Stegostoma tigrinum: one gene and its partners. The main gene of each other region encodes a partner of the protein of the gene in region 4 in a complex. Links are inferred from orthologs where the notes say so. Each region holds a gene or a part of one and is shown on either strand. Other genes may lie near its edges. The genes, in order: ints11, ints1, ints7 and ints4.

Region 1 (7,247 bases), on a different chromosome or scaffold from region 4:
GTTATTTGTGCAAACTACAGGATTAAGGAAGATCAAGCAGGCCATATTGACTGTACAGGTCTTCTGTAATGTCATAAGTCTTTGCAACGACCGGCAGTGCTTCCCCCAGTATAGATACCACCTTCTCTGTTGGGCCCATATTCATAACCTCAAAGAAGTTTGCTCGGCTCGGCAGCATATAAAAGGCAACAGTTGCAGCTTTGCGTACTATCCAGGGATGATATTTAGCTAGGGAATCCTGGTATGCCTCTGTACAAAGAACAGAAGTTTTGCTATCATCAGAAGCTACTCGCAGTTTCTCCAGAAACAGCTGTAGCCACCTGAGGGCACGATGGAGCCGCAATAGTGTACGACAGCCAGAATCCCAGTGGTCACCCCGCTTTGTCAGATCCACAAGCTTGTTACCAACTTCATACTTCACCATTGATTGAATCGTCAGATACTGTTGACCATTCGCACCACGTCTGTAGTGTTCCAGAATTTGGATTTTGGTGACAGCGTCATGTGAAATAAAGGAAAAGGCCGATCCCAGACTGTTCATAAACCTAAAGTGTAATAAACAGACATATTTTAGTGTTTAGAACAGAGTTAAAAAGTAAATTACTGGTCTAACAAAAATTAAAAATAAAAATTGAGAAGCAATATTCTTAAAGTAACCACAATACTCCATTGCCAAGTGGGTTACTACTTCCAGAATTCAAATTGTAGCTACTTTTTTGGGAGTTTATCTTGCAAGATGCAGGTGAAAGATCTCAATTTCTACCCCTGATTTTCCACTGATCTGGGAATGGTAGAAACTGTACTTTGTTGATTACAGAGGGAACGACTGCTACATGTTACACCCAGGCTAGAAGCACCCAACAGATTGGGACTGGGCCCAGCAATGTTGTTACCATTGGTTGAGCAGTCTGCTGACATGAACCCTCAGACGCACAGGGGATGTAATGAACAGTGCTATGCATTAAGTGTAATGAGCAAGAATCAATACATTCAGGAGAGGAACACAAAGTTGGCGAGGAATGTTCATGTACATCAGTTGATAAGACACTGATGCCAATGCTACTCTGATATTTGTCAAGTGAAATTCACACATAAGCAGGTCACATGCATATTCCTTACAAATGCAGCTATTAAATGAAATCAAATTTAATGTTCTAGATGTTGTGACCTACTGACAATAAGTTTACCACAATACATGGTATAAAGAATCTTCTAAAGGGCCATATCAGATTCAAAACATTAACTCTGTTCTTGTCTCCACTGATGCTGCCAAACCTGCCAAGTTTCTTGAATGCTTTTTATTTCTCATTTCCAGCATCAGTGATATTTTGCTTTAATAATAAAGTGGAAAGTTGACAGAACACAAAATTTGGGTTTAAAACTTCCAGTTGTGTGTTAGAAAGGCACCTGTTTGAACATATACTCTATTATTGTGGAGAAATGGAAAATGTTACCAATATCTGTTGATCTACAATGTCAGTGAAGTGCAAGCACTGATCATTGAGCATCACAACTCAATTCACTGAAAACTGAAAGTACCATTAAGTAAAACCTCAATTTAAAAGGATTAGGGCATCTCTGAATAGAATTCACTTGTGTTTCTTAGAATGAAATAAAATACAAGTAAAATAGCAGATTTGGGAATGCATTAGAAGTTATTGGCTCAGATATTACCATGGTAACATGAGTGAACCCGACAGCAAGTGCTGCCTTTACTTAATTATACCAAAAGCAACTTCAGGAGTCTGGAAATGCACAAATTCATTTAGAAAAACAGAAGTTATTTCAGTGATGCTATATTTTTTTTTTCCAGAAAGTGCACTGTGAGGACTCACCCCTCGACTGCAGTCGCTGGCAAAACACCAAAGAAGTGACGTGAACTTTTTATTCTGGTCTCATCTCACTCATTGTAAAAATCCCTTGAGAAAAAGTTACACTTTATTGACCAAGATGTGTTTGGATCTTAATGGCAAAATAACAACTACAGAATACTAAAGACTGGTCCTGAAAAGCTAATTTTATGTTTGCAAATTGTCAAATTTCATCTTTACTATCAAGAGTTCTACATATTTAAAATAAAATGTATTTAAATCTAATCATGTATTTTACAACAAGATATTTTAACAGCTTTAGTGACCTTGTTTGCAATTGATAAATCCTTCAAGGCAGTTGTTTGCCTATCCTGCTTATTTACAACATTGCTGCTGCTGCACACCAAGATTTCCTTTGACTTAATGTCTGATACATTAGGAAAGAAGAAACATGCCATGGAGAGTGCTACATCTTTGTAGGCAGCATTCTTTGACATCACCAAATATTCTTGCTATGTTACTCAGCATGAAAGCTAGGCCAATGTTTTGGGAGAAGGATAACAGCCTAAAACCTTAAGTTGTTCTTTTCTGAAGCAAGAGGCACTCTACAATTCCAGATAATGCCAATATTTTTGCTTTTGGTAGGTTGGGAGATAATGGTTTCACATACACAATCTATAAAAGGTTATCATTAATGCAGTATATTGGTCAAGTGAACAATTTACAACAAGGTGATGCTCGCCATACAGCATCGCAAAAAGAAATAGCTCTCATTCTCATTTTCCCCAGATTAATTTTGTGAAAACAGATTTGGCCCCTCACACTAAGTAAATCGATTATACAAAAATCCAAATTAGGAACAGAAGGAGGCTACTCAGCCTTTCTATTTAGTTTCAAAATTCAATAAAATCATGGTTGATCTGTTCATGTTTTGAATGCCACATTCACATCTACTCCCAATAACCTTTGATTTGCTTGCCTAACAATAAAAAAACATTACTTACTATCTCCACCCTAAAAAATACACAAGGACATTGCCGCCATCCCTCTGAGTCAAGGTGTTCCAAGGTTACACAACTCTCAAAGAAAAGAAACCTAAAAAAACTCCTAGTTTTTAAACACTGCTTCAGTATAGTCATTAATTAACACAAGCTAGTTCTGGACTCACCTAGAAGAGAAAATATCTTTTCCATATCCATCCTGTCAAGATCTTATTTATATTTTAATCAACCTGTTTGGACAGGTTATGACAAATCTTTGGGACAAGTAGGACTTGAACCTGAAACCAAAACCATTTGAGCTAGAGTAAGGGACACGATTGCACCACAAGTTTGTGAAAAGAAGGATCTTATATTTCAATCAAGTCACCCATGACTCTTCTAAACACGTGAAAACATGAGCAGTGTGTCCAACCATTCCTCAGAGGAGGATGCACACTTTCCTGGTATCAATCCAGTACACAATTGTAAACTGGGGTGGCACAGTGATTAGAGATAATGGGAACGGCAGATGCTGGAGAATCCAAGATAACAGTGTGGGGCTGGATGAACACACCAGGCCAAGCAACATCTTAGGAGCACAAAAGCTGACATTTCGGGCCTAGACATCAGCTTTTGTGCTCTTAAGATGCTGCTTGGCCTGGTGTGTTCACCCAGCCCCACACTTTATTATCTAGCACTGCTGCCTCACACTGCCAGAGACGGGGCTTGATTCCAGCCTCTATCTGCATTATAGGCATTCAGATTCTAAGCCTCCTCTGAACCATCTCCACCCCACTTACATCCACAATTTTGCAAGATGTGGTCTCATCAATGTGCTAAAAATTTCAAGTATAACATCCTTACTTCTGTTCCTCACAGAATAAAGGATAACATTCCATTAACATCTTAACTAGTTGATGCACCTACATTCTAAGTTTTTTTTGCGATTCGTGCACCAGAATATCAAAACTCCTCTGCACCTCAGAAATACGTTCCACTTAGGTGGCATTCTTCGTTTGTTCTTCCTAAATTAACATCACGTTTTCCCAGATTACATTCCATCTGCCAGATATTTATTGAAAAATTCAACTTCTCCACATCTGTCTGCAGTCTCCATAAGTTCTGTTAGCAATAGAGCGAAAGGATTTTTTTTTGAAAGTCACTCACTTTACCAGTCCTTTCCATCCTTCTAAGTAATGTTCCTGCAGGATTTCTCCGTTGTCAGTCAGACATTCTTTGAAAGACCCCAGGACCTCAGTCAGACTGAACCGATCTGGATGAGCCATTTTAGAAACTGAAGCGAAGGAGTAGGGTGTTTTATTGACCAATCACAGCGCGGCTGTCCCCGGCCGGAAGTCCCACCTCAGCACCAGCCCACCTGGATCGAGCATCTCATTGGCCGTTGCTCTTGTCAGTCGGGTGGGTGTGCTGGGTGTCCTGGAAACGAGGGCCTGCTCGGCCTTGCTGTCGCCCGAGGTAGGCCTGAGGTTAGCGTGTTGTTTCTGCCCGGTTTGTGACAACAGCGTTTAGGGGAAAGGGAAAGGAGTAGGACGGGAATCGCTGTAATTGAGAGGGCTCCTTGTGTATTTAAAAACCCGTCGCCATCATTATGCGACGGGAAAGTGATAATAAATTGAGTTGTATTTTTAAAATTGCAACGTATGAATGTTAACCTGGAGACTTTAAGTGTGATTTTTTTTTGTTTAAATCAGTGAAGGAGGCCGCAACTGGCTTGCTGTCCTGTTCATTGTCACTGTCTGGAATTTTGCTGCTCCTCAGCAAAGCTCACTGTAAACCAGTGTTGTGTACAATCTATTCCATTAAATTTGACAGTTTTTAAAAATAGTTCCCAGTTTTTTTTAATGGGACGTATGTTGCTGAATTCAAATTTTTGAATAATTCAATTTTAAAGGCAGTAGATGACTGAATTGTTAGTGGAGGGCATAGTGGTGAAACAGTTTTTTTTCCAACAGTCTGGCTGCTTCTTTGTTACCTTTAATGTTACCAACAGCAGTTTTTTGTATTTTAATTATCCTTTGCATGCACTTAAAATTTTTCAAGCTCTCTTAGTGGGCTATTGATTCCTGTTCTCTGAATTGTTAGTGCAAGTCTCTGGAATTGTTTTGTCCAGTAATGACTAGTGTATACCTGTTGATTTTATGAAGATCTTCATTAGTAGGTGGACATGTGCATTCAAGAGGCTGTAAGAGTCGATGGGTTTCAGGGCTTTGTACACTCAGACATTGAGTATAAAAACAAAGTTAATTTGTTCAAATCATGGTACAATGATAAGAAATATTCCATTTATGTAGTAACTTTCTCTTTGAAACATACCTCAAGATTCTTCACAGATCATTGTAGCAGGAATAAAATTGTGACCATATGCTCAAAAATTGAATCTTTCTTCACTGAAATAAGGAAACTTAGTTAGAGATTTCACAGAGATTTTTAAAATTCTTAAAAATTTTAAGGCGTAAATAGCGCAGAACTGGCATGACAGGCTGTTGAGGTTAAAACTAACTGTTTAAAGATTAATTGAACAATGTCAAGGCATTTCTTCCCCCAGAAGATAGTGAATGCCTGGAATTCAATATCCCAGAGAGTTGTGTAGCCTAGATCACTGAAAGTATTTGAAGAGAAGGTAAATAGAGTTTTAAAATATCAAGGAGCTGAGAACTCTGAGGAGCAGGTACAAGAGAGGAGCTGAGGATTAGCGCACACCAAGCCATGATTTTATTGAGTAGCAGGATGGGATTGAGGGTACGAATAGCTTACTCCTGTTCCCATTTCTTAGGTTCTTGCTTTCAGTATTTGAAAATGACATTTTATATTAGGATATAGCTGTTGAAAAAAATGGTTGTAAAGTTCTGTCAGTGACTTGGAGGTGAAGTTCACGCCTCTAGACTTTAACACACAGTACATACCACTGTCTCCCTGTTGCACAATGATACTCTCACTTCTTCTCTCATTTCTTACCCTTACATAGGAGAGACCAAACTGCTGGGCCTTGAAATCTCCTGAGATTTTGTTACTGATACAGTCTGCTTTAAATTTATCAGATCCATTTTGCTGAATTTAAGATGACTAACTGATTTCATCAGTACATTCTTGGAACCACAAGTTGCAGTGAAATCTGATTGCAAATGCCAGAAATAAAGGTCACACCTTTAGGTAAGAATTCAAATATTCAGCTGTCTCTAGAATAACAAGGAGCAGCATTATTAGATATGATTGTTAGTAAGAACTTAGAAAACTTGCAGAATGATGAGTCCTTGCTTTTTCAGGGGCTGGCCAGGATGTGGGCCGCAGTTGTATCCTGGTCTCAATTGGTGGGAAAAACGTGATGCTGGATTGTGGAATGCACATGGGATATAATGATGATGTAAGTATATGGAACAATCGAATGGTAGAAAATACAGGAAAACACAGGCTTGTGAAATAAAGAGATATCTGGCCAGTGTTTTACAGTTTGAGTTTACATGGTTCATTTGTCAATTTTTGTGTATCCGTGTTTCCTTCAATGGACGTGGACCCAGTGATTGTTGGTCATTGCTGACTTAGTACAGGTGTTGAAGTGTTCCCAGTTTTCGGTGTCACATATCACTGGAGGTAGAGCCATCACCATAACAGGAGTAGGTTGTAGGTTTATTAACCACTGTAGTTATCACTACAAGCATTGATTGTCACCGTGACCCAGGAAAGGTCCATAGTTTCTGTACTCTTGCTGTTGGGTCTAAATAGTATATGAATAAACCAAATACAACAGGAGTCACAGATAGTAGGAACTGCAGATGCTGGAGAATCTGAGATAACAAGGTGTAGAGCTGGATGAACACAGCAGGCCAAGCAGCATCAGAGGAGCAAGAAGGCTGACGTTTCGGACCTAGACCCTTCTTCAGAAATGGGGAAGGGGAAGGGGGTTCTGAAATAAATAAGGAGAGGGGGGAGGCGGATAGAAGATGGATAGAGGAGAAGATAGGTGGAGAGGAGACAGACAGGTCAAAGAGGCAGGGATGGAGCCAGTAAAGGTGAATGTAGGTGGGGAGGGAGGGAGGGAGGAGATAGGTCAGTCCAGGGAGGATGGACGAGTCAAGGAGGCGGAATGAGGTTAGTAGGTAGGAGATGGGGGTGGGGCTTGAAATGGGAGAGGGGATAGGTTGGAGGCGGGGACGAGCTGGGCTGGTTTAGGGATGGAGTAGGGGGAGGGGAGATCTTGAAGTTTGTGAAGTCCACATTGATACCATTGGGCTGCAGGGTTCTCAAGCAGAATATGAGTTGCTGTTCCTGCAACCTTCACATAGCATTGTTATGGCACTTCAGGAGGCCCAGGATGGACATGTCATCTGAGAAATGGGAGGGGGAGTTGCAACGGTTCGCAACTGGGAAGTGCAGTTGTTTAGTGCCAACTGAGGGTAGGTGTTCTGCAAAGCAGTCCCCAAGTCTCCGCTTGGTTTCC
Region 2 (7,555 bases), on a different chromosome or scaffold from region 4:
CCACCCTTCCTCCCTCGTCCCCCATATTACCTGTAGTCAGGATCTGCCCACACAGGACAAGCCTGGATACTATCTGCTGTGTAATCCACTGGCTCATATTCTGGCCATGCCACGCTCCAGCTAACATAGCTGTCAGGGACAGGGAAGCGCTGGACCTGAGACCCTGGATACGGGGACTTTCGTGCCTTGACGTGAATCATCGATAAGCTTTCTGTATTCTGATGTGAGGCGTCGCACACTGGGTAAGTTGCAGGCTTATACCAACCAGACTGGGCAAGGCAGACACTGAAATAGAAACACTATCATTTAGAACTTATTTCTTGAGAAACCCAACCCCAAAGAACTCCAGTCTCTCAATACATGAACCACTTCTACCCCAATATAATGACTACCGTTCAGAAACTTCCTCAATGATTGAAGTCACAGACAAAGTCATGAGAAACATTGCATCAGTGTAAGTTCCTTACTAAATTCTGGCCCATTTCGTGCAGTGAATTTTTTCAGATTTTCTTGAATTGACCTGGGTTTGAGATATCCAAATAATTGCAACTGAAATCTCCTAAACACACTTATTTAATGCATCATTCAGTATACAACGACATCCGTTTCAAGGAATCTTTCAGAAACCTGCCCCTCCCCATCTACCTCAAACCCTTCATCTTGCTGTACCTGTTCAAATCCTTCTCCAGTCACTTAGAATCTCATTTTCTCCAGCTACAGATTTAATCTTCAGTGATCTGCCCCACCCTGATCTGTGTGGATCGAGAGGCTGCTGGAAATCTCTTTGTCAGAGACTGCTGGTGGTCAGAAAGAGTCAGCTTTTGTGCTCCTGAGATGCTGCTGGGCCTGCTGTGTTCATCCAGCCTCACAATTTGTTATCTTGGATTCTCCAGCATCTGCAGTTCCCATTATCACTAACCTTTGACTGGAGTTCTTCCTCAGCAGAATGCTATGAATAATTCAATAGCACTTGGTCACTGGGGAGTGGAGTTGCATGTGCTGGATGAACACAATCGATTCCTTTTTATATTTCTGTTGCTGAGATTGCTGTCAATTAATGAAACTTGCTGACAGAAATAAAAAGCTCAAATGTTCCTGCCTCACTTCCTCAAAACAGCCACGTACATTTACAGGCATGCAAGAATTTTTCTAAAATAAAAGGCTTTTTGTTTGTGGCTGTTTAGCAATTTTTATAGCTTTTTGAAAATGATCCAGTTCTCCCGTCTGTGTCTGGTCTGCAGCAACATGATAGCCAACTGCCTCTTCAAGAACTCACAAACAGTGGCAGTGTTAAAACTGTTCAACCACAGAAGGCATTGTTGTCAGCCGTAGCTCAGTAGGTAAACATACATCCGTTGGAGTAGGAAAATGGTGGTCTTATTTCACTCCAGAGACTTGACCAGGCAAAATATAACCTCATTTGCCAATGGAGTACTGAGGAAGTACTGCGCTGTTTGAGGTTCTGTCTTTGGCAATGAGATACTCAACTAAGATCCCGCCTGCCACCTGAAGTAGATGTAAAAGATCTCATTGGACTATCTGGAGAGAAGGTACAAAGTCAACAAATTCTGGCCAATTGTCATTCCGCAATAACATCTAGAGAACAGATTACAGTAAACTCCCCAGTATCTGGCATGCATGGGGACTGGGTGTGCTCATTACACAAATCGATTGGTTGTGGCTGGGACCACTCATAAATACAGTCAGTAAGGTTTGATCAAAAGGAGAAAGAGAGGTGACTAAATGATCAGGTTCCAGCAAGCAAATCTACTCCCGCTGGTTTTAGTTTTATTCATTTGTGGGACACGGGTGTCACTGACTGGGCCAGCACTTGCTGCCTGTTCCTAGATGCCATTGAGAAAGTGGTGGTGAGCTGCCTTCTTTAACTGCTGCAGTCCCTATGCTGTATATAAATCCACAATACAGTTAAGTGGAGGCAAAACATCCAGAATTTTGATTAAACAACAATGAAAAATCAGTAATATTTCCAAGGCAGGATGGTGGGTGGCTAAGAGTGAAACTTGCAGTTTGGTAGTGTTCCTGTGTATCTGCTGTCCTCGTTCTGCTAGGTGGAAGTGAACATGAGTTTGGAATGTGCAGTGCTTCTTCTTGTTGTTACACATAGCCAATTATAGAGTTATACTGCAGGGAAACAGACGATTCGGTCCAACCAGTCCATGCTGAACTAAACTAGTCCCACCTGCCTGCTCCTGGCCCATATCCCCCCCAAACCTTTCAAGGTCTTGTTCTTATCCATACATTGTAACTGTGTCCACATCCACCACTTCCTCAGGAAGTTCATTCCACACGCAAACCATCCCCTGTATTAAAAAAAAACTGCCTCTTACATTTTTTTAACTCGATCTCCTGTCACCTTAAAAATGTGCCCCATAGTCTTGAAATTCCCCCTTGTAGGAAAAAGACAACTACCATCAACTCAAACTTGCAACATGAAATGGAAGGAGGAGGATTTCTGTTAAGTGCTCTCACGTGGGCACCCTGATCTGGACAATGGGGATTTTACAGTGGTATCAGAGATAATGGGAACTGCAGATGCTGGAGATTCCAAGATAATAAAATGTGAGGCTGGATGAACACAGCAGGCCAAGCAGCATCTCAGGAGCACAAAAGCTGACATTTCGGGCCTAGACCCTTCATCAGAGAGATGAAGGGTCTAGGCCCGAAACGTCAGCTTTTGTGCTCCTGAGATGCTTCTTGGCCTGCTGTGTTCATCCAGCCTCACATTTTATTATCTGGGGATTTTACAGTGTCTGGTTACTGTCACATTACCGTTTGTGGGCGCTCACGCTGAATATATTCTCTGCTGCATCACACCGGTGACTGAAGTTCAAAATTACTTTATTGAACCTAAATGCACTTTGACTTATCCAAAGATGTGAAAAGGACAGAATGAAAGAGCATCTTTCTGTTTCAGCTGGTTTCTGCGTGTAAGTGTATTTTTCAACATTTCCAACTGAATTTTCTTTTCCACGTAGAGGAGGGAATTGAACAGATTGCAATATCTCCATTACCGGTCCTCGCTATAATACCCAAACTTAGCCCTGCCTGGAACATCCTCATTTCCAGTACACATGCAGGACTGAGTTCACTACATGCACTACTCAGAGTTAATAAACAAAACTATCTGGAGTAACAGATAATGAGGGTTGATCTTATAAAGGTTTATAAAATTATGAGGGGCATCGATAGGGTAAATAAACAAGGTCTTTTCCCCAAGGGGTGGGGGAAACCAAAACTAGACAGCGCAGGTTTAAGGTGAGAAGGAAAGATTTAAAAAAGGGAATTAAGGAGCAACTTTTTCACACACAGGGTGGTAGCTGTATGGAATGAGATGAAGACTGGTACAATTACAACATTTAAAAGACATCTGGATGGATACATGAATTGGAAGCATTTAGAGGGATATGGGCCAAATGCTGGCAAATGGGTCGAGATCTACTTAGGATATCTGCTCAACATGGATGAGTTGGACCAAAGGGTCTGTTTCCTTGCTGTACATCTCTATGACTATTTGACTGCACCACTGCGATGAAAAATTCTAATGGAGAAAATATACATAGTGCAGATGGAGGCCATTTGGTCCAAGATGGAATACTCTGTTTAACTCAGAGGCTTCACCCATCTGGGACACAGCAGTACCTCCAAAATCAGACACTGACTACAGACAGAGACTGATCTTCAAAACCAAGAGTGGGGTTCAGACGTGGCATCTCAGAGTCACTGTACCTGTCTCTGATCCAAATCCAGCATTGGAGGGCAGTGCAGACCATGCACACACTCATTGTCCTCCATAGATTACGTTTGGGAAAACTCATAATTAGTCAGATTCACAACGTTTCTGCTCACATCCAGACCACCTAATATAATTCCAGTCCCATCACACCAACAGCTTTCAATTCTTGTTTTCCACAACATTTACACTCAGCCTGCTCACAGTCACAGCCCAACACTTAGATGCTAACACTTAGCCCTGTTTATATTAACTGGTCAGGTTCCCACTTCCAAACCTAAAGACACAGCCTCCTGCTCAATCCTTGGCTAATCACGTCCTTGGAGCCTACAACACTGACACTGACACTCCCTGACCACACTCGTCCTTGGTCACACTCAGACTCTGACGTTGTCTCTCCCTGGTATTCGATCATCATGGCCCCACCCTCTGCAGGAATGGGCCAATCACAAGCGGAATCCATTTGAATGGCAGCGGACGAACGTCGGCCCTCTGCCCCACAACTTCCGGCCCGCGGACAAGCCGCTCCGGGTGGGACTGTTTCCCTAGGATAGTGTGTGCTCACGGAAGGGGGTGGGGAGGGAGGAAGGGTGTGACACGGCACCGGGAGAGAGAGGAAGGTGTCAGCCCCGGGCACGTAGAGGGTTAGCCGGGCCCAGGGGAGGCCTGTCACTTATCAATTACTGTACACGTAGGCTACCCTTCGCCTTGTGAGCGTTAACTGGTCGAGAGCCCTTTAATTGGGTTTAAAAGACTGATCAACATTTATGTAGCGCCTCTTACATCCTTAAGGCGCGTTACAGCTAAAGGCGTGCAGCCCCTGTTAAAATGTGGGAACATTGAAGACTATTTGAGGACAGTACGATCCCGTAAGCAACATTGTGACACTCATAGTGATTTGGATTTCCATATAGTAGTTGCCCAGAGCCAGCACACGAAGGAAAATTCCCCTGTTCCTTTTGTAGTGACCCAGGAGATCTGCTTGCCCACCTGAAAGGTTAGTTGGGTCTCGGTTAAATATCTCACTGAAAATGTTGCATTTCTAATCGGTAGCACTCCCTCCAACCAGTATTGGTGTGCCCTCCTGGATTTTAATGCCCCTTTTAAAAAATCTGGAGTGGGGTTTGGAGCCTAGATCTACCAATTCAGAAATGTCAGGACTGCCACTGAGCACCAGTTGGTGGTACACAAATGTGTGCTGCAATCTGACGTATTGCATTGACCACTAACCTAGCATGTACACGGTGAAAAAAATTCTTTTAAAGTACAAATTAAAACTTGTTTGATGACACAGCTGTTTTCCATGTTCAGTATTAAGTTTGTTATAAAGAACTTGATTAGTCTTAATATTAGTCTTTTTGACAGTATGTCCATAATTCTAATAAAAGGTGTGCACCTGAAACAGGGATCATCTTTTCCAGATGTGAATGGATTGTTGAGACCTTACTATTTTATCTCACATTTTCCAGCACTTGCAGATTTATTTGTTTCCTTTTTAATGTTTTTGTGCATTTGTATTTGTTGTTGACAGGCTGCACACATTCATAACAACAAGGGAAAGTGAAGTGTATAGTTTACCAGGATGAACCGATCAAAAGCTGTGGCAATCCGGCGCCCCAGCAGTGCCAAACCTAGTGGTGAGTGCGGCATCTTATAGAAATTATGTAGATTTATTTTCTTTTGCTAAACATTTGCTCCTTTGTTTAACAATGTAAAATTTGAAAAGACTTGCCTGAAAGCAGGTTGTGTTTGGTGTACAAGTAGTCCATCATTTTGACTTTACCTTTCCATTATGAATTCCTTAAAACTTGAACAAGGATTCTGAGACGACCAGTTTTCAAACTTTACAATGAACTATGGTGAAAGATAGGATAGCATTAATGCCATGGATCTTCAAAAACTTGATGTTTACACTGTCCAGCTTCACCTTCATTTGGAACTGTTGCCAAGGTGAGCACGGTGGCTCAGTGGTTAGCACTGCTGCCTCACAGCACCAGGAGCTCGTGTTTGATTCCACCCTTGAGGGACTGTCTTAGTGTGGAGCTTGTACATTCTTCCCGTGTCTGCGTGAGTTTCCTCCTGGTTTCCTACCACAGTCCATACATGAGCAGGCTAGGTGAATTGGCCATGCTAAATTGCCCAAAGTGTGCAGGGATGTATAGATTAGGTAGGCTATGGAGTCTGGGTGGGATACTCTGAGGATTGGTGTGGACTTATTGGGCTGTAGGGCCTGTTTCCACACTGCAGGGATTCTCTGATGTTTCTATGATGATGATGATTGTTACAGGAGGAGGCTGCTTAGCCACTTGAGCCTGTTCTGCCATTCATAAAGCTAGTGGCTGGTCTTAATTCCATCTCCTGGCTTACATTCCAAAGCAATGAATGCTTTTCCCTTAAAAAAAATTTAGTTTCTGTTTTGAGAGATTTTGCAGAAAGATGAGACTTTCCACCCGTTTTCCTGGGCTGGTTGAAAGGTCAAGATAGGCAAACTCCTCTGATTGAAAATTTGGGGAAGCCATCATTAATCATGTTAGCTTCTGTTCCTGCATGTGATCTCTGTTATCACTTCTGCTGTTCAATCCTAAATTTGAAGAGCTTGACCTTACTGGCATTCACTTGAAGGGTGATAGTTGGAAAAACCAACCTGCAACCTGTTTATATATGCAACACCACCTGTCTCTGTTTCTCTTGTATGTTGAAATTTTATTTATTTTAGGGCATCCACCCCCTGGGGACTTTATAGCACTGGGGTCGAAGAACCAGGCCTCTGATGCCAAGGCATCGGGAACACTGCTGAAGCCAGCGCAGACTGGATTGCAGTCTGATAGAAAACGTGAGGGATCGTCAGCCATGACCTCTACCTCTGGCCTTTCAAAACGCCCAAAGATATCTTCCACTCCACCATTGAGTGCGCTTGGACGCCTGGCAGAGGCTGCAGTCGCAGAGAAACGGGCCATATCACCTTCTATTAAAGAGCCATCTGTCGTACCAATTGAAGGCAAGTATTGGCTGCAGGGTATTGAGTGATGTGCACCTTTCTGCATGATCTAATACCTGAGATTAAGAATAGCATGCTCTTGCTTCTCTGAGCATTTTCACTATACTGAAATAAAAGTTCATTGCACAGTTTGTAACTCCAAGTCATTATTTCCCAAGATTTCGAAAAAAAAACCGGAAATACTTGCACTTGGAAGTAAGAATGACAGTGATAGACTTCAAGAAGATATGGACAGATGAACAGCAAATTAAATTTTCATGTAGTGAAGTGTGAAATAATAGATTTTGCTGGTGAAAATGAAGAAAAGAACTATAAAATAAGTTTTTAGAGCAGATGCACGATCAGACGCACTTAGAGTTTAAGTGCAGGAATCAGTGAAGATAGCGGTGATAAAAGGATATGAACATAGAGATACAGATACCGATGCAGGGATGTTATAAAGACCTTTTTATAAAATGTCGATATGGCCTCAGCAGCAGTAATGTACCAGATTCTCAGCATCACATTTTAGGAATATACTGAAGGAAAGAAAATCATTGAGTATTGCAAAGATTAGTGCGAAGCCACAGGATTGGGAAAGTTTTAAAAACCAACAAATGACACCAAAACAAAGGGGGAAGATAAACTTTGAGGGTAAACTTGCAAAAAATATGAAAATGAATGGCAAGAGCATTTTTATAAATCTAAAATGAGGAGAGAGGCTAAAGTTAACATAGGCCACATAGAGAATAAGGCTGGAGAAGAATAATGGGAACAGGAAATGGAGAGGAGTTGAGAGAGTTTGAGATTGCAATGTAGTAACCCAT
Region 3 (7,870 bases), on a different chromosome or scaffold from region 4:
GAGGGTACTGCGGTCACTGCCCACAATGGGGGTACGAGTTGCGAGCATTAATGTGTGCAGTGTCAAGTCCACCGCAAGATGTGTATCCACGTTGGCCTAACTGACCACCTTCAAGGCGGACCTCCTGTTTCTGCAGGGAGTGCGGGATACCACACCTCGGCAGGTACGGAAATGGTCCGGCGCCTGGACCTGTGGGCCTTCGATCTGGTCGGGGGATAACGACTGTCGCTTCTCGGGCCTGGCTATTCTGCTGCGGGGGCGCGACTTCACCATCGCTCAAGTTCAGGAGGTGGTGGGGGGGGGTGGCGCCTCCTAGTGGCTGATGTCACCTACAGGAACGCTCCCCTGAGGCTGATCAACGTGTATGCCCCAGCGGTATGGAATGAGCGGTTGGCCGTCCTGCAGCGGCTTCCACACCTGCTGGCTATGTCCAGGCCGGTCATCCTGGGCGGAGACTCCAACTGCATCATCGATGCAGACGGAGGATCCAGCGTGGGGACAGCGGGTGGGGGGGGGAAGAGTCAACTGGACGTCACGTCCAGATTCCTGATGGGCACGGTGAAGGACGCCAAGCTGCTCGACGTCCTCAGCACCCCTGCAGACGGAGCGCAGCTGAGGTTCACCTGCTTGCGGCCAGATGGGTCTATTCGCTCAAGGATAGACTTCCTGTTTGTGTCACGGGCGTTCTGAGTCAGGTCCACCGGCGTCGAGCCGGTGTTCTTCTCTGACCACTACCTCCTGCTGGCCGACTGTCACTTACAGGATGACCGGCCGGCCGGCAAGGGGACGTGGAAGCTCATCACGACTCTGTTGACCCCAGAGAACGTCGAGGAGCTGAAGAGGGAGTACACTGGTTGGAGAACCGTGAAACCCCTCTGAGTCTCCGGGCGACTGGTGGGAGACAGTAAAGGAGAACATCAAGAGGTTCTTTGCCCTCAAGGGTGTTCGGAAGGCGAGAGAGACGCGGGGAAAGCTGTCGCGACTCCAGAAAAGGGTGCAGAACCTGCTCCTTCTGCAGTTGATGGGGGTCGCTGTCACGGAGGACCTCCGTGAGGTGAGGGGCCAGCAAGCGTCGCTCTTCGCCGCGGAGGCCTCCAGGATAATCTTCCAGTCCAGGGTCCGCTCCGTGGAGCAGGACGAGACGTGCTTGCGTTTCTTCTTTCAGAAGGTGCACAAAGAGAGCTCTGTGCTTAGTCGGCTGAAGGAGGACGACTGCTCGGTGACGTCGTCTCGGCCCGACATTTTGAGGATCAGCAGATCCTTCTATGCCGGACCGTACGACACAAAGCCCACGGACAGCACGGCCTCCGAGTCGTTCCTGTTGTCTATCACGGAGGTCTTAGGCGACGGCACGAGGGAGTGGCTAGACCGGCCGATATCCCTGGACGAGCTGACCAGAGCCCTCAAGTCCTTGGAGAGGAATAGGACTCCCGTTGGACCGTTCCGTACCACCTGTCCTTTGCGGAGAAATTTTTGAAAGGAAACACCTTTGACCACAAGGCCGTCAGGCAGTGGTCAGCACGTAGTATCCTCGAGACCCTTCAGGAAAAGGAGAGGGTGGGTCCCGTCGTATGGTTCCCCACACAGACTGCCAAAGTCGTTTGGCAGAATGCCTCATCGCCAGAACTTTCAAACAAGCACAAGGACATTGCTTGGCTGGTGGTGAGAGGGGCTCTGCCAGTGAGATCCTTTATGCATGCCTGGAATCTCTGCACCACCGCACGCTGCCCTCGAGGTGGCTGCCGGGGGGACGAGACTGTCGATCACCTCCTTCTGGAGTGTGCCTATGCGCAGGAGGTCTGGAGGGGGATGCAGTGGTATTTGTCGAGGTTCGTCCCGAGCAGCTCTGTGACGCGGGACTCCGTGCTCTACGGGCTGTTTCCCGGGACGCACACCGAGACCAACATCAACTGCACCTGGAGGACCATCAATGCGGTGAAAGACGCTCTTTGGTGTGCCCGCAACTTGCTGGTCTGCCAGCTGAAAGAACTGACCCCGACCGAATGTTGCAGACTGGCACACTCCAAGGTCCAGGACTACGTGCTGAGGGACGCGCTAAAGCTTGGGCAGCCGCCGCCAAGGCGCAGTGGGGAAATACCACGGTATGAAACCCCTCGTCCTGAATAGAGAAAAAGGGCCCTATCTGGTAACTGGGCCCGGCTGGCGCCTTCCCCAACTGGTCAGGGGGCCAACTGGGACTGTACGGGGTGACAACTGCCGGGGTATTTTTTTTGCTTTTTTTTTCTTTCGTTGGTGTAAGTACCCCCGGGTAACCCAAAGCGGCTTGCATGACTGGGTAGGTGTATAAATATGTTTTATTTTTTCGTACATCTTATGAATAAAATATATGTTTTCAAATAAAAAAATGTGACGAAACGTCTGAAAACGAACCTTCCAGTTCAGCGAGCAAACTCACACCCAGAACTTTTAATATCCAACTGGTCCACATGTTGTTCCTCAGTATCACTGAGGAGGACAATATTTATTTCATAGGCACCACTTATTTGCTCTGGATAATCAGGCTGTAACTTCACGAATGTGGCAATCAAATTTGTAACTTCATGATTCCAAACTAATGTATGCTTTTAACTAATTAAAATTAGAGAGACACAGTAAGTGTGCAAGAAGTTCAGTCAAGCACTGGAGAGGTCAATTTACCTGTAGACCACAAGCAGCCAAATGGAGGTACTGCTGCCCCAAGGTCACCGTATGAAGTGTGTTCATCTCGCCGATTACATTGGTAATACTGCAGCAGAGTCTCTAACGAGTAGCTGTGAGACTCTAAACACAAAAAGATAAAATTTTGTTGAAACTAACAGACAAGCAACTGACAATAAAAAAAAAACTCTGCAGTGACTGCAACTTGTCTTTTGTATAAGATATTCCATGCATACAAATTTACAGCAATGTTTCATTGCTGTGCAGGCTAAGAAAAATGGCAACCAAAAGGAAATTTTAAGATAAGTAAATTCCATAAAGAGATATCCACATGAATAGGGTATAATTTTTATTTGTTTCATCATTTTAACAAAAAAGCGATCATTCATCATTCAGAATGATTTGAGACATTTAACCATGCATGCACCTAGAAGGCATAGAGCTGGACGAACACAGCAGGCCAAGCAGCAGAGGAGGAGGAAGGCTGACATTTCGGACCTAGACCCTTCTTCAGAAATATGGAAACGGGGGGAGGCAGATAGAAGATGGATAGAGAGGATAGGTGGAGAGGAGACAGACATGTCAAAGAGGCGGGGATGGAGCCAGTAAAGGTGAGTGTAGGTGGAGAGGTAGGAAGGAAATAGGTCAGTCCAGGGAGAACAGGCAGGTCAAGGGGGTGGGATGAGGCTAGCAAGTAGGAAATGGGGTTGGGGCTTGAGGTGGTGGTGGTGGTGGTGGTGGTGGTGGTGGTGGGGGGGGGGGGGGGGTAGGTGGGAGGAAAGACAGGTTAGGGAGGCAGGGACGAGCTGGGCGGTTTTGGGATGAGGTAGGGGGAGGGGAGATTTTGAAGCTTGTAAAGTCCATATTTATATGGTTGGGCTGCAGGGTTCCCAAGCGGAATATGAGTCGCTGTTCCTGCAACCTTTGGGTAGCATCGTTGTTGCACTGCAAGAGGCCCATGATGGACATGTCGTCTGAGGAATGGGAGGGAGAGTTAAAATGGTTCGCGACTGGGAGCTGCAGTTGTTTGGTGCGAACCGAGTGTAGGTGTTCTGCGAAATGGTTCCCAAGCCTCCACTTGGTTTCCCCCGATGTAGAGGAGGCCACAACGGGAACAACGGATACATGTACCACATTAGCAGATCTGCTTGATGTGAATTGCAAGGGGGGGGGGGCAGAGAGATACAGAGGGGGGGGCAGATATAAAGAGCGCGCACGCGAGGGAGCAAGACAGAGAGGGAGAAATGGAGGTATATAGAGGGGGAGGTAGAGCTATATATATATATACATATATATATATATATATAGAGATAGATATATATGAGAGAGGGAGAGACAGAGAGGGATTTTGTATCCAACTTCACTCTGCACCATTAAACTAACAAGCGCGATATAAATCGTAAATTGAAAGGCAATGTGTGGCAGGTGAGCAGTAATTATTACAATTTGATACCTCTTTTTGTAAATAAAAAAACTTTTATCAATACGAGAAATATCTAACACCCAATTTAAAAAATGTTGTTGTGCCCCGTTCAAAAAGCATTCAACCACAGCCTTAATTGAACTCCTTTTAGAATATCCAGTCAAGTAGCTCTATATTCGTGCTTTCTCGTAAGATTTAGAAGCCTACCAACATGTTAATGACAACGACAGTGATGCGTATAGTAGACGAAATAGCTGTTCTCTTCGAAAATTCGTGTAGCTGAGACCAAAACAATAAAACTTCCTGCAGGAATTTCGCATTTCAATACAATTATAGAGTCACTTGATTGATTTGCACTTCAAATAACAAAACTTAGACAAATTTCTATTTTTAAATGATTACTTACAGCTACGAAGATTGAGATTAGTTTTGGCGAAATAAAACACTGAGCACAGCATTCTGATGAATAAACCTTAAACAAGCAATACTACGTAATGTTTCACAAATACATCACAACCGTGATGTCTTTAAAGAAAGGCGCACACAATCCTTTTATAACCTTGGAGTAGTTTCTCACCTCGCGTTCTGTTACAAATTCTGCTACTGAGCACAGAATGGAACAACATCTTAAAACTCCCGGCGACTGAATTCAACACAACTCCCGCGCTCTGCAACCTCCCGCCAAATTGACGTCACACGCGCTGATTGGCCGCCATGCGGAAGTTTGTCGTCCCGCTGTTACCTCCGCTCCCGGTGCATTACTGGGAGAAGACGGTTGGTTCCCTGCGGTTAGAGTAGGTGTTTAATCATGGCGCTGGCAGCAGCTAGGCCGTTTTTGTCGGAAGGTGGTTATGGAGAGCAGGAAATGGACGCCAACTCTGCTCTGATGGAGCTGGATAAAGGTACGTATCGGGCGCAACTTGCCCGCTGGCCCTCCTCTTTTCTCGGATTTAACAAACCGGCGGAACGTTTTCCAAACTGCCTTTAAAACGTGCAGTAGAATATCTGGGACCGTCTCGGGGCAGCAGCTGCGTTTCGGTGTTTATTATTACTCTCAGTGAGACTCTCCAAACGTTTAAACTTTCTCGCTGAATTGTGGAGGTCTTTGGAACTGGCTCTAAAATCTTGCATCTGCCCATTAGATGTTGATGGATGTGAACTGATTGTTATTTTCTGAAAAGTAGCGTATTAAAATCCCGGCCTTAGTTATTAGGATTGAAACTTACTTTATTGAGTTTTAAATCAAATCTCAAATTTGTTCGAAACAAATCATAAACATTTTTCTGACCGGTTTGAATGGCTTATACAGTGTTTGAAATCCTCCAGTTATTTCCAAGGATAAATTGATAAATCTGTATTTTGTGTTTACCTTTTATTTAAGTTTGTCAAGCTCTTATCCTGGTCAAAATACCGTTGAAATTATCATTCACAGATCATAGCCGATGACCCTAATTATGTTGAAGTTTGCTGTAGATAAAAGAGAAAAAAAACAGACATTAAAGTTGTTACATGAGCACAATTTGAAGTGTTAAGTCTAAGCAACATTGACATTATGCTAACGTCTGAGCAGTCAAGCAACATATACAATAGACTTATTTTGAATGTTTCCTTTGTTGTAAGCTCATAAGTCATATCAGTCTGTCTCCCTTGCCCCCAGCCCAGAGTCACGTTTTACCTCCTTACTCCCCATCCACTTTCATTGAGGTGCTGCCTTTCTCTTTGCTTATCTAAGGAGCTGCTCTTCTTGCGTACTGCTTCATTTGACGTATCCTTTTTTCACCAAAACTCATGAGAGTTACATCAGTTATTTTGCACTGAGCTGGTTAATGGATGAATATTCTGTGTGTGAAGGATTTACTGCCACACTTGACAACTTGCTGACCCTCCTTTTCTCTGAAATTTCCACCTAACAGGAAGTAAATTTCCATCAATTGAAAATTTGTATTCAGAGGTTGCAGCAGAGTTCAGTCGCTTGAGCAAATCAGCACTATCACATAAAGCCAAGAGTGGTGGTGTGAGACGCATTGGGCCATGATGGATAACTGAGGGTGGGATTTTATGGAGTGTACTTAAGCATGAGTATTTCATTTATACAGTCTGGATGTGGATTAGAAAAGGTGGATGCTGGGAAGTTGTTTCCGTTAGGCGGGGAGACTAGGACCCGTGGGCACAGCCCTAGAATTAGAGGGGGTAAATTTAAAACGGAAATGAGGAGACATTTCTTCAGCCAGAGAGTGGTGGGCCTGTGGAATTCATTGCCATGGAGCGCAGTGGAGGCCAGGACGTTAAATGTCTTCAAGGCAGAGATTGATAAATTCATGATCTCACAAGGAATTAAGGGCTATGGGGAGAGTGCAGGGAAGTGGAGTTGAAATGCCCATCAGCCGTGATTAAATGGCGGAGTGGACTTAGAACATAGAACAGTACAGCACAGAACAGGCCCTTCAGCCCACAATGTTGTGCCGACCATTGATCCTCATGTATGCACCCTCAAATTTCTGTGACCATATACATGTCCAGCAGTCTCTTAAATGACCCAATGACCTTGCTTCCACAACTGCTGCTGGCAACGCATTCCATGCTCCCACAACTCTCTGCGTAAAGAACCTGCCTCTGACATCCCCTCTATACTTTCCACCAACCAGCTTAAAACTATGACCCCTCGTGCTAGCCATTTCTGCCCTGGGAAATAGTCTCTGGCTATCAACTCTATCTATGCCTCTCATTATCTTGTATACCTCAATTAGGTCCCCTCTCCTCCTCCTTTTCTCCAATGAAAAGAGACCGAGCTCGGTCAACCTCTCTTCATAAGATAAGCCCTCCAGTCCAAGCAGCATCCTGGTAAACCTCCTCTGAACCCTCTCCAAAGCAGCCAAATGGCCTTACTTCCACTCCTATGTCTTATCATCTTATGGATTGGAATCTGCAGTTTGAGGAACCCACCTATTGGAACTAGTCTTATTCTTTGTCTCTTGAAACTAATTGTGTAAAGTATATTACAACAAAATTTTTTTAAAAATTAGAAATGTAAAGTGGAAACATGAAGAAGCAGTCCAGACTAAGGTGATTTGCTATGTTGAATGGTTTACATCAGGTGTTGTGGTAGGGATCTTTCTATTTTTGAAAAATCAGTGACATGGTGTAACATGGATTTGGTATGGGAAGCATTAGGGAAGAGTTTTGCCTTTTATGTAGGAATGACTCGATGAACAGCCAGAAGCACGGGTCAGACTGTTTGCAAATAAAACATATAACACAGGTTAGTGACCCCTGTTACAAATGAAATTTTGTATTTTACCTCAAGACTTAAACATTTAAAAATATGAGACTTTCATAATGAGAAGTTTTCTGAATTGCTGTGTACATTAAATTATCTAAACTTTTGAACTGTGTTGTAGTGAGTTCAAGTACCAATTGCAATGTTTTTATCCTATCTTTCAAGGACTGAGATCAGGGAAACTTGGTGAGCAATGTGAGGCAGTTGTTCGTTTCCCTAGGTTGTTTCAAAAGTACCCATTTCCGATTCTTATAAACTCTGCTTTTTTGAAGCTTGCAGACATCTTCAGAGTTGGGTAAGTATCAACAACTTTTGAAAGAATGTTCAAACAATTAATTTTACATAGGTTTTGTAACAAATGTGATTTAACTATTTCCCTCTGTCAGAAACAACTTTCTGAGAATGTGTGTGTTGAAAGTCACTCAGCAGAGTGAAAAGCACTTGGAGAAAATCTTGAATGTTGATGAATTTGTGAAGAGAGTCTTCTCAGTCATCCACAGCAATGATCCAGT
Region 4 (7,071 bases):
AAAAGCTGACGTTTCGGGCCTAGGATCTTTGAAGGCCCTAGGCCCGAAACGTCAGCTTTTGTGCTCCTGAGATGCTGCTTGGCCTGCTGTGTTCATCCAGCTTCACACTTTGTTATCTTGGATTCTCCAGCATCTGCAGTTCCCATTATCACATCACAACACCAGCACCTGGATAGGGAGAGAGGGGGAGGCGGACCGAAGATGCACCAGCGCAGTTCTTCCCCTCCCCCCACTGCATCCCAAAACCAGTCCAGCCTGTCTCTGCCTCCCTAACCTGTTCTTCCTCTCACCTATCCCCTCCTCCCACCTCAAGCTGCATCTCCATTTCCTACCTACTAACCTCATCCCACCTCCTTGACCTGTCCGTCTTCCCCGGACTGACCTATCCCCTCCCTACCTCCCCACCTATACTCTCCTCTCCACCTATCTTCTTTTCTCTCCATCTTCGGTCCGCCTCCCCCTCTCTCCCTATTTATTCCAGAACCCTCACCCCAACCCCCTCTCTGATGAAGGGTCTAGGCCCGAAACGTCAGCTTTTGTGCTCCTGAGATGCTGCTTGGCCTGCTGTGTTCATCTAGCCTCACATTTTATTGTCTTGGATTCTCCAGCATCTGCAGTTCCCATTATCTCTATTCTCAGTTCCTGTCAGTTTTCATTACCTTCAGCCTTATCCAACAAGATTATTGCTGATCAATTCCACTTTCTATCTTTCCCCCATAATCCTTGATTTCCTTACTGGTTAAAAATCTGCCTGTTTCAATCTTGAATCCATTTAACAACACGCCCTTGAGAGCCCTTTGTGCTGACACTGGTGGTGGAGAAATTATTGAAGTCTATAATGAAGGGTCAGTCATGCTTGACAAACCTCATAGGGATGTTTGGAGAGGCGACAACGGTGGTGGCCAGAGGCAAGTGGATGGATGCTGTTAAAGTGGACTTAGAGTCATAGAGATATACAACATAGAAACAGGCTCTTCTGCCCAACTCGTTCATGCCGACCAGATATGGCCTAACTCCACAGAGCAGCCATGATTTATTTGAATCACAGAGATCAGGTTCAAAGGGCTGAATGGCCTTCTCCAATTCCGAGGTTCCTAAAGAATTCCACAGATTCACTACCCACTGAGAGAACAAATTCTTCCTCATCTCTATAACAAATGTGAAACCCCTTCTTCTGCAATTATGCCCCTGCTCCGAACATATCCTATGAATTAAAATAATCTGTCAGCATAGATCCGATCAGTTCCCTCAGAATCTTTTGCATTTCAATTAGATTTCCTCTCATTCTTCTAAACTCTAATGAGTACAGGCCCAATCTATTCAACCTCTCATCATAAGACAGTCCTCCCATACCTGGTGTCATCCTACTGAACCTTCTCTGCACTGCCTCCAAAAACAATCTTCCCTTGGATAAGGGCACAAGATCGTTCATAGAATTCCAGCAGTGGTCGTTGCTTTAGTAAGATCTTGTTCACCTCAGGTCAGGATGGCAAATGGATTATAGCGGAACATCCAGCCATTTGTCCTTTTGTTCTTACTCCAGTTCTATGTAATAAAGATGTTTCTTTGCACTTGTACCACTTGATCTCCTGTGAAAATAACAGGGATCTGTTGTTACATCTCAGCTGAAGGATGGTGTATAGTTGTGAGTACCACTTTATAGGAAAGATTGGAGGCAGATTTACAAGAATGGTTCCAGGAATCAGAAACTTACAGTCTTTTTTTGTTCATCATGGGATGAACGCCCCGCTGGCAAGGCTAGCATTTACTGCCCACTCCCTATTAATCAGAGGGCAGTTCAGAGTCAACTGCATTGTGAGATAACAAAGTGTGGAGCTGGACGAACACAGCAGGCCCAGCAGCATCTCAGGAGCACAAAAGCTGACGTTTCGGGCCTAGACCCTTCATCAGAGAGGGTGATGGGGGGAGGGAACTGGAATAAATAGGGAGAGAGGGGGAGGCAGATCGAAGGTGGATAGAGGAGAAGATAGGTGGAGAGGGGACAGACAAGTTAAAGAGGTGGGGATGGAGCCAGTAGAGGTGAGTGTAGGTGGGGAGGGGATAGGTCAGTCCGGGGAAGACGGACAGGTCAAGGGGGTGGGATGAGGTTAGTAGGTAGTAGGGGGTGCGGCTTGAGGTGGGAAGGGGGGATAGGTGAGAGGAAGAACAGGGTAGGGAGGCAGGAACGAGCTGGGCTGGTTTTGGGATGCAATGGGGGAGGGGACGAGCTGGGCTGGTTTTGGGATGCAGTAGGAGGAGGGGAGATTTTGAAACTTGTGAAGTCCACGTTGATACCATTGGGCTGCAGCGTTCCCCAGTGGAATATGAGTTGCTGTTCCTGCAACCTTCGGGTGGCATCATTGTGGCACAGCAGGAGGCCCAGAATGGACATGTCGTCTAAGGAATGGGAGGGGGAATTGAAATGGTTCGCGACTGGGAGGTGCAGTTGTTTGTTGCAAACCGAGCAGAGGTGTTCTACAAAGCGGTCCCCAAGACTCCGCTTGGTTTCCCCAATGTAGAGGAGGATACACAACGGGTAGAGCGGATACAGCATACCACATTGGCAGATGTGCAGGTGAACATCTGCTTGATGTGGAAAGTCACCTTGGGGCCGGGGATGGGGGTGAGGGAGGAGGTGTAAGGGCAAGTGTAGCACTTCCTGCGGTTGTAGGGGAAGGTGCCGGGTGTGGTGGGGTTGGAGGGGAGTGTGGAGTAGACAAAGGAGTCCCGGAGAGAGTGGTCTCTCCGGAAGGCAGGCAAGGGTAGGGATGGAAAAATGTCTTTGGTGGTGGGGTCGGATTGTAGATGGCAGAAGTGCCGGAGGATGATGCGTTGTATCTGGAGGTTGGTGGGGTGGTATGTGAGGACAAGGGAGATTCTCTTTTGGCAGTTATTGAGGGGACGGGGTGTGAGGGATGAGGTGCGGGAAACTCTCGGATTCTCCAGCATCTGCAGTTCCCATTATCTCTCAACTGCATTGTGAGTCTGGAGTCACAGGAAAGGCAAAGCAAGTAAGGATGACCGGAGCAAATTACTGCAGATGCTGGAATGTGTACTGAAAACAACAAATGCTGGAGATCACAGGAGATCAGACAGAATCCATGGAGAGACAGCAAGCTAGCGTTTCGATCTCTGATGAAGAGTCATCTTGATTCGAAACATTAGCTTGCTCTCTCTCCTTGGATGTTGTCTGATGCACTGTGATCTCCAATATTTTGTTGTTTTCAAGTAAGGATGGCAATTTCCTTCTCTAAAAGACATTAATGGGCCATATGGGTTCTTCCAACTATTGACAATGGATTGATGGTCATCATTAAAGTCTTAATTCCAGATGTCTGTTGAACTCAAAGTCCACCATCTGTTATGAGAGGGGTGAGGCAGAAGGGGGGGGGGAATGGGAAAGATGGGAAATTGGGGGCGGGAAAGATGGAGTGGAGGGAGAAATGGCAGAGAGAGAGATGGCAGAATGGATTGTGGGGAGAGAATGGGAGATGGTGGGAGATGAAAAGGATGGGAGGAGGTGGGGAACGAAAGGATGGGACGTGGAGCGGAAGAGGGGATAGGAGGGGCGTGGGTCAGCAGAGGTAAGTGGGGAGGGGACAGGACGCAGGGGAGTGGGCAGAGAGGGCAAGGGGGAGAAAGGGAACAGGGATGCAAGGAGAATGAGGGGACGGAGAGGGAGGGGTTGACAGAGACCGAGAATGAGGGTAAGTGGGAGAAGGGAGCGGAGTGGTGGGAGGGACAGAGTAAGAATGGGTTGAATGGGGAGAGAAGTGATGGGGAAAGGGGGTGAAGGTGGAAGGGGAGAGAGGAGCAAAGACGGAGAATGAGGGGAAGGGGTGACAGTATGTGGAAAGGTGGAGGGTGGGGTCAGAAAGGGTGGGACCAGGGCCAGGGGGCGTTGCCAATGTGCGCTGGGGAGGAAGGGCCAGGGCGAGGGGGCGGGGCCAGGGCGAGGGGAAGGGCCAGGGCGAGGGGGCGGGGCCAGGGCGAGAGGCGGGGACCGTCCGGTGGTTTCGGGGGGGGGGGGGGGCGGGTCCACGGATGCCTACGGAAGCCTCTGAGAGCCTAGAAGCCGTTAATTCGGCAATTGCCGCGCGGTTTTGAGTTTGTCGTTGTTGTGCCTTCTGCTTCGCTACGCCATGGCGGCGCATCTCAAGAAGCGGGTGTATGAGGAGTTCACCAAAGTGGTTCAGGTCAGGCGGCTTTCCTCTCCTGAGACTGCAGCTGGTTGTGCCCTGCCGTTGCCCCTTCTCCTTCCTGCTCAGCTCCTTCCCCCTCCCGCACCGACCCTCAGGAAAACGGCCTCCTGCTTAGGCCTGAGGCCTAACCCAAGGCCCCTTTTAAAACAAATAACTTTGATGTGGAACGTGGATATTTGTTCAGCAGCTGTGCCAGGGCAACCTTTCGTAACCATACAGCTTTAACTTTGTACAATATCTTGAAGGTTTAGATAGGTTTGATTATTTAAAAACATCTGTTTTGCAAGAGGTTTAAAGTTACTGCTGTCAAAATTTGAGAGCCTTGAAAGTACTTTAACGTGGAAAAGTAGATATTTGCTCCAAAGTGAATCAATGGTTGGAATATAATTTAAAATTGTAGATTTTGTACGTTACATTTTAAAGCCCACTCATGATTTTGAAAACCTTTATCAGATCCCCTGCCCTCTTTCCGAGGAGGTCAGTTCCAACTTCTCCTACTTATCCTCATAACTGAATTGTCTCATTCCAGGAACTGTTCCTGCAAATTGCTCCTGTGCTCTCTCCAGTGCATTTGTGTCTTTCCTATAATGTGGTGCCCGCAACGGCCCTCAGAGCGTCCCACCCAGACCCATCCCTGGACATTACGGGCAATTTCCCATGGCCAGTCCACCCTGACCTGCACATCTTTGGACTGTGGGACGAAACCCATGCGGACACAGGGAAAATGTGCAAACTCCACACAGACAGTCACCAGAGGCTGGAATCAAACCCAGCACTAACCATCGTGCTGCCCCTTTTTAAGCAACTCATTGGGACACAGCAATTGGAGGTCCAACTAAGATTCGAACTTGGATAGCTGGATTCCAAGTCCAGATTGCTAACCATTACACCGTGGAACCGACTGCAAACAAGCAGGGCTTCACGACAGAATTCAGTGCACTCCAGACAGGACTTGAACCCGCAATCCCTACCTTGGGAGGGCAGTGCCTTCTCCATTAGGCCACTGGGGCCAGGCATATCTAGTCACCTCTTGAATACATTCAATGTTTTGGCAACATTCTCCCCATGTCTGCAAGGGTTTCCACCAGATGCTGTGGTTTTCTCCCACAGTGCAAAGATATGCAAGTTAGGCGATAACAAAGTGTGGAGCTGGATGAACACAGCAGGCCAAGCAGCGTCTCTGTGCTCATAAGATGCTGCTTGGCCTGCTGTGTTCATCCAGCTCCACACTTTGTTATCTCAGATTCCCCAGCATCTGCAGTTCCCATTATCTCTGAATGCAAGTTAGGTGGACTGGTCGTGCTAAAATTGCCCATAGTGCCTGGGGATGTCTGGGTTAAGTGGATTTGCCATGGGAAATATAGGGTTACAAGGATAGGGGGTGTGTGTGGGGGGGGGGGGGGGAGTGGGGGCTCTGGGTGGGATGCTGTTTGCAGTGTTGGTGCAGACCAGATCGGCCAAATGGCCTGCTTTCATGTTTTAGGGATTCTATGATTCTACATCCACCTGCAGCAAAACCTGTACAACAGCAGGTCTTGGACTAGTGAGTGGCAAGTAAAGTTTGTCACATGGGTGCAAGACCATGATCATCACCAAAAAGAATCTGGCCCTTAGCATCAATGTCACTCCATCACTCAGTACCCCACTATCAGCATCCTGGGAGCTACTATTGACCAGGAACTGAAACTTGCCCATTTTCTACAGTTCATAAGTCAGGCGTATGGTGGAATACTCCCTGCTTATGTGGATACGTGCAGCACCAACAACACCAGATGATTCAATACCATTCAAGAAAAAGCCACCTGTTTAATTTGACACCTCATCTTCCACTTTCAATTTTCACACGCTCCACCACCAAGGCACAGTCACAGTGGATAATGTGTATCTATAAGCTGCTCTGCAGCAACTTACCAAGGCTCTTTAGAAAGTATCCTCCAGATTTTTGACCATTGTCACCTAGGAAGTCAGGGGTAACGGATACATGGGAAAACCACCACTGCAAATTCCCCTCCAGGCTACACACCAACCTGACTTGAAAATATATGCCTTGCCTTTACCGTTGTCATGTTAAAACCCTGTGGGTGTATCTATATGCCATATACTGCAGCACTTGCAATAAGAATTTGGGATGGATAATAAATTCTGGCCAGCTAGCAAAAAGTGCATACAATGAATAACTGAAAAATATTATCCCCCATTTCTCCCAGTGTCATTCTGCAGAATCTGTGTTGTATTCCCCCCAAGGCCATTATACCCATGTTGAGGATCAGTGCTCCATGCTGAATGTAGTGCCCCAGATGGTTTCATAGTTGTACATGACCAGCAAGACCCATGAATGCTCCCCAAGAATACATGCTACAAATTCTGTGCAGTGACAAATCCTATAAAAGGTGGCCTGCTATTACTGTTAATTGAAATGGTATTGTTTGTCTTGGTCTAAGCCCGTCTGTGCTACAAGACTGTGGATTGAAACTCCAATGAGAGTGTTGTCCTTGTCATCCAGCTGATTTGTTGCAGTACCAGTGGGATGATGCATAGTCAGAAATTCCACAGCGCAAACAAGACACTGAACTGAAGCTGAATCTGTCTTTTGCAGATTGAAGAAAAGAGTCCCATGCCACAATTTGTCTTAGACCAAGGAGGTTCTCCCAGTTGGTGACACAATCATCTGATTCAAGAGATTATGATCTCAAGAACCATCCTAACCAAGAGCAGTGAATTTGAACAGAAGCATGGCATTTAACATAGATAACAAAGTGTGGAGCTGGATGAACACAGCAGGCCAAGCGGCACCTTAGGAGCACAAAAGCTGGTGTTTCGGGCCTAGACCCTTCATCAGAAAAGGGGGATGGGGAGAGGGTTCTGAAAT

Evidence for each region.
Region 1: the proteins of ints4 (region 4) and ints11 are in contact, whole or in part, in a cryo-EM structure (PDB 7BFP), measured with the Homo sapiens proteins. The link is inferred for Stegostoma tigrinum from reciprocal best matches to the Homo sapiens genes INTS4 and INTS11. Residues at the interface, in NP_291025.3 of Homo sapiens: Leu159, Asp161, Thr162, Arg167, Tyr203, Gln207, Asp244, Ser292, Gly294, Trp296, Arg299, Lys323, Met326, Ser327, Asp328; in NP_060341.2 of Homo sapiens: Pro183, Trp191, Lys194, Asp212, Gln288, Gln400, Gln404, Lys462, Met465, Ala466, Leu469.
Region 2: ints4 (region 4) and ints1 share a complex: the UniProt entries of both Homo sapiens proteins name them as parts of the integrator complex. The link is inferred for Stegostoma tigrinum from reciprocal best matches to the Homo sapiens genes INTS4 and INTS1.
Region 3: the proteins of ints4 (region 4) and ints7 are in contact, whole or in part, in a cryo-EM structure (PDB 8RC4), measured with the Homo sapiens proteins. The link is inferred for Stegostoma tigrinum from reciprocal best matches to the Homo sapiens genes INTS4 and INTS7. Residues at the interface, in NP_291025.3 of Homo sapiens: Glu536, Met539, Asp540, Arg571, His572, Ala574, Tyr575, Asp578, Ser579, Ser610, Phe613, Arg620, Leu624, Leu627, Gly631, Glu634, Leu635, Phe638, Arg641, Asp642, Arg645, Leu646, Glu648, Leu649, Gln650, Lys677, Leu678, Trp679, Asn680, Val681; in NP_056249.1 of Homo sapiens: Lys137, Asn138, His140, His141, Arg144, Gln145, Gly175, His205, His206, Asp207, Ala208, Ser244, Ser245, Leu246, Val247, Lys282, Thr283, Pro284, His285, Thr286, Thr321, Ile322, Lys325, His326, Gly686, Tyr689, Glu704, Gln707, Gln708, Leu711.

Annotation. Positions count from the first base shown.
Region 1 is NC_081381.1:29,356,415-29,363,661, reverse strand, and holds the start of ints11 (integrator complex subunit 11), read left to right. Parts: upstream 1-4,163; 5' UTR 4,164-4,267; exon of another isoform or gene 4,268-4,278; intron 4,279-5,850; 5' UTR 5,851-5,934; coding exon 5,935-5,962; intron 5,963-6,075; coding exon 6,076-6,173; intron 6,174-7,247. Other genes in the region: cptp (ceramide-1-phosphate transfer protein), read right to left, coding at 23-545, 3,959-4,077.
Region 2 is NC_081376.1:18,252,042-18,259,596, reverse strand, and holds the start of ints1 (integrator complex subunit 1), read left to right. Parts: upstream 1-4,349; 5' UTR 4,350-4,748; intron 4,749-5,282; 5' UTR 5,283-5,333; coding exon 5,334-5,388; intron 5,389-6,467; coding exon 6,468-6,749; intron 6,750-7,555. Other genes in the region: ADP-ribose pyrophosphatase, mitochondrial-like, read right to left, coding at 31-285, 3,748-3,836. UniProt on the Homo sapiens protein: Component of the integrator complex, a multiprotein complex that terminates RNA polymerase II (Pol II) transcription in the promoter-proximal region of genes.
Region 3 is NC_081362.1:54,598,162-54,606,031, reverse strand, and holds the start of ints7 (integrator complex subunit 7), read left to right. Parts: upstream 1-4,829; 5' UTR 4,830-4,889; coding exon 4,890-4,983; intron 4,984-7,523; coding exon 7,524-7,653; intron 7,654-7,744; coding exon 7,745-7,870. Other genes in the region: dtl (denticleless protein homolog), read right to left, coding at 2,659-2,781, 4,659-4,707. UniProt on the Homo sapiens protein: Component of the integrator complex, a multiprotein complex that terminates RNA polymerase II (Pol II) transcription in the promoter-proximal region of genes.
Region 4 is NC_081359.1:108,917,375-108,924,445, reverse strand, and holds the start of ints4 (integrator complex subunit 4), read left to right. Parts: upstream 1-4,057; 5' UTR 4,058-4,142; coding exon 4,143-4,196; intron 4,197-7,071. UniProt on the Homo sapiens protein: Component of the integrator complex, a multiprotein complex that terminates RNA polymerase II (Pol II) transcription in the promoter-proximal region of genes.